2 linked regions of the Macaca mulatta genome follow. Each later gene encodes a partner of the first gene's protein in a complex. Links are inferred from orthologs where the notes say so. Each region holds a gene or a part of one and is shown on either strand. Other genes may lie near its edges.

What was found. The genes of interacting proteins can lie anywhere in the genome.
Region 2: ACTL6B (region 1) and SMARCB1 share a complex: the UniProt entries of both Homo sapiens proteins name them as parts of the BAF complex. The link is inferred for Macaca mulatta from reciprocal best matches to the Homo sapiens genes ACTL6B and SMARCB1.

Annotation. Positions count from the first base shown.
Region 1 is NC_133408.1:47,852,134-47,855,699, forward strand, and holds part of ACTL6B (actin-like protein 6B), read right to left. Parts: intron 3,240-3,566; coding exon 3,145-3,239; intron 3,079-3,144; coding exon 2,972-3,078; intron 1,960-2,971; coding exon 1,870-1,959; intron 1,713-1,869; coding exon 1,651-1,712; intron 1,514-1,650; coding exon 1,399-1,513; intron 1,262-1,398; coding exon 1,181-1,261; intron 1,076-1,180; coding exon 980-1,075; intron 782-979; exon of another isoform or gene 765-781; coding exon 678-764; intron 1-677. UniProt on the Homo sapiens protein: Involved in transcriptional activation and repression of select genes by chromatin remodeling (alteration of DNA-nucleosome topology).
Region 2 is NC_133415.1:27,973,335-27,976,900, reverse strand, and holds part of SMARCB1 (SWI/SNF-related matrix-associated actin-dependent regulator of chromatin subfamily B member 1), read right to left. Parts: intron 2,970-3,566; coding exon 2,840-2,969; intron 1-2,839.

The DNA.
Region 1 (3,566 bases):
CAAAATCTCATCCTGACCAATCTCTCCAACTACCTGTCCCTCTACTCCTTTTTTTTTTTTTTTTTTTTTTTGAGAGAGAGTCTCACTGTGTCACCCAGGCTGGAGTGCAGTGGCACGATTTCAGCTTACTGCAATCTCCATCTCCTGGGTTCAAGAGATTCTCCTGCCTCAGCCTCCTGAATAGCTGGGATTACAGGCATACACCACCACGCCTGGCTATTTTTTGTATTTTTAGTAAAGACAAGGTTTCATCGTATTGGCCAGGCTGGTCTCGAACTCCTGACCTCAAGTGATTCGCCCGCCTCGGCCTCCCAAAGTGCAGGGTTTACAGGCATGAGCCACCGTGCGCGGCCTCTTCTCCCCAATTTGTAAAAGTAGAGATGGGTCTTGCTATGTTCCCCTGCTGGGTCTTGAACTCCTAGCCTCAAGCCATCCTCCCACTTCAGCCTCCCAAAGTGCTGGGATGACAGGTGCGGGTCACTGTACTGGGCCCCTGCCCCCAATTTGTGTCCTGTTCACCTTTCTGGGAACATTCATTGACCGACATTTCTCAAAAATAAATGTTCGTTGAATGAATGAATGAATGAATGAATGAAGAGGCAGGCAAAGTGGCGGGCGCTGTCTGGGTCTCCCCTGTCCCCCACAGTCAGTGCTAGGCCAGGTCCCCTTCCTCTCACCAGTGAGGCCAGGATGGAACCCCCAATCCAGGGGCTGAACTTGCGCTCCATGGTGCTGTTGCTGGCAATGAGTTTCAGTCGCATGCTCTGGGGGTAAAAAGGGGCTGGGGGAAGCAGACACCTAGGTTCTGGGAAGGGACAGGGCTTGGGGGGCAGGGGGAAGACTTGGGAAGCCTCAGGGGCAGGGGTTCTGCTCTGGTGGACAGAACAGAAGGAAGGACATGGGAAGAATGGGGGACTCAGTCCTGGACAGCTGAGCCAGGATGGGCTTCTGGGGCACTGGGTCAGGGGTGGGCTCCTACCGGTGGGGTCTTCTGGGAAAGCTCTCGATTGAGCCTGTCAGTGAAGCCCTGCAGCAGTGTGTTCCCGCCGGTGACAATGACACTCCCATACAGGCCCTGAGAGCAGGAAGAAGGAGTGAGCCACGGGGGACAGCCCCCCAACCCTGCCTTCCCACTTCCCCTGGGCCCCTTTGCCCAGCCTCAGCTCCGGCCTGGCCTCACCGGGCGAATGTCAATGTCACACATGCCGATGCTGGTGGTCACCACGTGGCCCACACCCAACATGGTATTCCCCGACAGGCCCTGCAGAGAGAGGTGACTGGGGCTGTGGGCCCTCTCCCCCTTCCCCCAGTCCCTGCAATCCTTCCCAGCCTCCCCCACGCCCCAGGATCCAAGGACTGCAGCCAGCACCCACCCCAGTCCTTGCCACACAGCCAAACCTTGACGTTCGAGGGATCAAAGAGGCCCTCGGGGATGCGGAGTCGCTCGGCGCCATAGTCTGTGTTGTAGCCATTGGGCATCTCGTAGTGCACTGTGGGCATTTGTGCAGCCACCCTGCCCAGAAGGGAGCAGGACTCTGCCTGGGGTGCTCAAGAGGGATCAGTGGGTGGACAGCACCAGAGTCCCCCAGCCCACCCCAGGAGTCCCAGTTCTGCCCTTTCTCCCACCCCCCAGCCCTGAGCCACACTCACTGTTCATCGTAGGGGGAGTCTGAGACCTGCAGCACGGAGGCCTGGAAGTCCTGGATCACCTCCTGAAATCCCAGTGAGGGTGATGAGGGCCTGGGTTCCTCCTGAGCAACACCCCCCGCCCAGCTCCCCCTCCCTGCTCCACCTCCCATGCAAGGCCCCTGCCTCGCCCCCATTCACGGCAGGGGAGGGGGCTTCAGGGGACCCTCTCCAGAGGCTCACATTACACATGTAGTTATGCCAGGACTTGGAGACCTGGGGGAGCTTCTCCTTCTTCTTCCAGTTTGGGGGGGCGCCCTCCCGGACAGGCTCCTGTGGGGACAAAGCGTAGGAACACCCTTTCTTAGCCCACCCTGACCCCTACCCCACCTTCCTGGCACTGTTCCCAGCTCTGCAGCTAACTGGCACTGGAGGCTCTGCTGTGCTGCCTGCAAGAGGGTTTCTCACCCTTTCCTGATGGACAGGAGAGAGAATGGGGCATGCCTCTCTCTCCGTGTGTGCCCTTCATGCAGTGGATACAGCTGACCTGGAGAACACCAGGAATACAGCAGTGACAGAATCTCCAGAGAATGGCCTCCTAGGGGGCCGCGATCCACGTGAGGGCACAGGACGGAGCTAAGCACACAGTGTCACTTCATACAGCACCCTGGCTACTGCCTATTACCGTTCCACTTTACAGAAGAGGAAACTGAGGCCCAGGGAGCTTTGATATCATGCTATTGGTCACACAGCTCTTTTTTTTTTTTTTTTCAGAGTCTCACTCTGTCGCCCAGGCTGGAGTACAGTGGCGCGATCTCGGCTCACTGCAACCTCTGCTTCCAGGGTTCAGGTGATTCTTCAGTCTCAGCCTCCTGAGTAGCTGGGACTACAGGCATGTGCCACCATACTTGGCTAGTTTTTGTAGTTTTAGTAGAGATGTGGTTTCACCATGTTGCCCAGGCTGGTCTCGAAGTGAGTTCAAAGTGATCTGCCTGCCTCGGCCTCCCGAAGTGCTGGGATTACAGGCATGAGCCACCATGCCCGGCCGGTCCCACAGCTCTTGCACGGCAGAGGCAGAACTTGAACCTGGGTTTATATTGAACCCTAGAACCCACCACACTGGCCCTCACACATCCTGCTGTCTGCTAGCTGATTCCATGACCTCAGCGTATCCCTCAGCCTGTCTGGATTTCAGATGCCTCACTTATATAAGGAGAAACTGGAGCCAGGACCCACTGGGGAGCCTGCTGCTCTCTGCTCTGATATCTCGTGTGTCAGCGGGTTGACGGCCATGGGGCGAGTGGCCAGGACTCTAGTGGCAGCTCTGTGTCCCCAGAGGCCCCACCTTGGCTGCGATCATGTAAGGTGGGATGATGTCAATGGCCATCTCCTGGAACAGCTCCCGGCACTGCATGGAGATGAAGTCCCCTGCCAGAGGGGACTTGACGATACCTGGAAGGAAGGCAGTGTCAGGATCTCGTCCTCCTGGTGCGCCCCTGCCCCTTGCCGAAGCCCCACCTTGCTGCAGGACGTAGCCGTCATGTACTGGAATGGCCGTGGTGTGGGTGGCCCCACTGTCCAGCACAAGGCCCGTGGACCGCCCGTTTGCAAAGCTGGCATCGGATGGGTAAGTCAAAGAGACAGCAGTGGCAAATGAGGGGCCTGGGCCCAGATCTGGTCTGGTCACTCTCTGCTCTGCCAGGGTCCAGCTCATCCCCAGTGTGCAAATCTCTCCTCCTGGTGATGACTCATCTCCTGGAGAAAGGCTCTGAGACCCCAGTTACTTCTTTTTTTTTGTTTGTTTTGTTTTTGTTTTTTTTTGAGACGGAGTCTCGCTCTGTCGCCCAGGCTGGAGTGCAGTGGCCGGATCTCAGCTCACTGCAAGCTCCGCCTCCTGGGTTCACGCCATTCTCCTGCCTCAGCCTCCCGAGTAGCTGGGA
Region 2 (3,566 bases), on another chromosome or scaffold:
TTCCTAGGGGTGGTATTAGTGGGCCAGAGAACAAAAAAGTTTGATGTCAGGATGCTTTACAAAAAGGGCACTCCTGGCTGGGCACGGTGGCTCACACCTGTAATCCCAGCACCTCCAGCACACATGAGCGCAGCTCCATCACACCTTCCCCAATTCCTTACATTGCCAGTTTTTTGTTTTATGCTTGGAATTTTTATATTTATTTATTTTATTTATTTATTTATTTATTTATTTATGAGACGGAGTCTCACTCTGTCGCCCAGGCTGGAGTGCAGTGGCGCAATCTTGACTCACTGCAAGCTCCGCCTCCCAGGTTCACGCCATTCTCCTGCCTCAGCCTCCTGAGTAGCTGGGACTATAGGCGCCCGCCACCACGCCCGGCTAATTTTTTTGTATTTTTAGTAGAAACAGGGTTTCACCATGTTAGTCAGGATGGTCTCGACCTCCTGACCTCGTGATCCACCCACCTCGGCCTCCCAAAGTGCTGGAATTACAAGTGTGAGCCACTGCGCCCAGCCTTATTTATTTATTTTTTTGAGATAGAGTTTCACTCTTGTTGCCCAGGCTGGAGAGCAATGGTGCGATCTCGGCTCACCGCAACCTCTGCCTCCTGGGTTAAGCTCCGCCTCCCAGGTTCACGCCATTCTCCTGCCTCAGCCTTCCTGAGTAGCTGGGATTACAGGCATGCGCCACCATGCCCGGCCAATTTTGTATGTTCAGTAGAGATGGGGCTTCACTGTGTTGGTCAGGCTGGTCTCAAACTCCTGACCTCAGGTGATCTGCCCGCCTCAGCCTCCCAAAGTGCTGGGATTACAGGCGTGAGCCACCATGCCTAGCCTATTTTTTTTTTTTTAAGAGACAGGGTATCGTTCTGTTACCCAGGCTAGAGGAGAGTGGTGTGATCACCACACCCAGCTAATTTTTTTAACCTTCAGTAGTGATAAGGTCTCACTATGTTGCTCAGGCTGGTCTCCTGGGCAACAGAGTCAAATCCTGGACTCAGGTGATCCTCCTGCCTTGACTTCCCAAAGTGCTGAGATTACAGGCATAAGCCACCATGCTCAGTCTTATGGTTGGAATTTTTGAAATTACACGAGGGCAAATTCTTTCCATGTTTGTTTACTCCCTTGTACTTGAAGGTATGGACCATCTTTTATCTATTTGTTGAGGTATCCAAGTTCGTTGTATAAATCTAGATGTATAGATTCTAGATATAACATTGTAACTTTCCAATTACTTGCTTTTTTAATTGTTACTATAAATACTCTTCTTTTTTTTTTTTTTTTTTTTTTTTGAGACGGAGTCTCGCTCTGTCACCCAGGCTGGAGTGCAGTGGCCAGATCTCAGCTCACTGCAAGCTCCGCCTCCTGGGTTTACGCCATTCTCCCGCCTCAGCCTCCTGAGTAGCTGGGACTACAGGCGCCTGCCACCTCGCCCGGCTAAGTTTTTGTATTTTTAGTAGAGACGGGGTTTCACTGTGTTAGTCAGGATGGTCTCGATCTCCTGACCTCGTGATCCGCCCGTCTCGGCCTCCCAAAGTGCTGGGATTACAGGCTTGAGCCACCGCGCCCGGCCTATAAATACTCTTCTAAAGGTTCTAAGTTTTGTTTTGTTTTGTTTTGTTTGAGATGGAGTTTCGCTCTTGTTGCCCAGGCTGGAGTACAATGGTGCGATCTTGGCTCACTGCAATCTCCACCTCTCGGGTTCAAGCAATTCTCCTGCCTCAGGCTCCTGAGTAGCTTAGATTACAGGCATGCGCCACCACACCTGGCTAATTCTGTATTTTTAGTAGAGACAGGGTTTCTCCATGTTGGTCAGGCTGGTCTCGAACTCCCGACCTCAGGTGATCTGCCCGCCTCGGTCTACCAAAGTGCTGGGATTATAGGCGTGAACCACCACTCCCAACCAGGTTCTAAGTTTTTATACATTCAAATCTATTGTTGTTTCTTTTGTGAGTTTATGTGAGTCACTAATTTTTCTGACAAATTGGTCCCACTTATTTGTTTTTTAAGAGATGAGGTCTTGCTGTGTTGCCCCAGGCTGGTTTTGAACTCCTGGCCTCAAGCAATGCCTCGGCCTCCCAAAGTGCTGGGATTACATGCGTAAGCCACTGTGCCTCGCAGAGTCCCGCTTTCCAAGCATTCATAACTGTTCCCTGGAATCCAGGACTTGGCTTACGTTTCTTACAAATTTCAATGATACAGAAGAAACTTAGAAATCTGGCTAAGAAAATGTACAAAAACAGAGGGAACGGTTAAAAAGTGTTTCAATCCAAAAATTAGGACCAGGCGTGGTGGCTCACACCTGTAATCCTAGCACTTTGGGAGGCCGAGGCGGGCGGATCACCTGAGGTCGGGTTCGAGAACAGCCTGACCAACATGGAGAGACCCCCATCTCTACCAAAAATACAAAATTAGCTGGGCATGGTGGCGTATGCCTATAATCTCAGCTATTCGGGAGGCTGAGGCAGGAGAATCGCTTCAACCCGGGAGGTGGAGGTTGCAGTGAGCTGAGATCATGCCACTGCACTCCAGCCTGGGCAACAAGAGTGAAACTCCATCTCAAAAAAAAAAAAATTAGCCAGGTGTGGTGGCAGGTACCTGTAATCCCAGCTACTTGGGAGGCTGAAGCAGGAGAATCATTTGAACCTGGGAGGCAGAGGTTGCAGTGAGCCGAGATCGTGCCACTGCACTCCAGCCTGGGCAACAAGAACAAGACTCCATCTCAAAAAAAAAAAAAAAAAAAGGTGTTTCAATTTAACTTCAACCCAACCAGTTCTTGAGTCTGAGAAAAGACCCCACAGATGTCCCCAGAGATGCCTTGGCCAGGAACGCATTACCTGAGGTAGGTGGGGGGCTCTGTGCTGATGGACACAGCCTTGTACTTCTCATCGTTGCCGTCCAGAATCTCTTCCACTTCCGAGGCTTTTAACAGGGTCACACTGGTGGCTAGAGTTGTGTATCCGTGATCTGTAACAGACAGACATCACTGGGTCACTCTGCTGGTGGCGGTGGCACACAGCAGCCAGCCAAGTGGATGCAGCACATCAAGGTCCTCGCATGCGGGAGGTGGGAAAAGCAAGGTGTCAAACTCACTACTACCGAATGCTGGCCTCTTCCAAAAGGGCAATCTGGACTGAGTGCTTTACTTACAAGTCCTGCTGGGTAGAGCCTCCAAAGGGACTGATTTAGACTAATCTGCCCCAGGCGCACTGGCTCAGGGGCAGAGGGTAGTGCTCAGGGCAGCACCAGCAACTACAATACAGCACGACCAGCGGGGACACCTTGGTCCTCACTCGGGAAAAGAAAGGCCCCAGAGTAACACCCCAGTGGGAAGAGGTCTGACACCACCACAATCCACAACACGATGCGAGGTGGGGAGATGGAATGAGAGATGAAGAATGCTTTTCTTTTAAAACAAGAGCCCAGAGAGTTGGAAAGAGCTGCTTCACACCAAACCCGAATTTCTATCCCCGAGCCGGTCCAGATGGGCTGCCTGGAAAGCAGGACAGATTCTAGGCAGCTCGACCCCTCGCTCTTCCGGGGAACCTCCGTCAAGAGCTACCT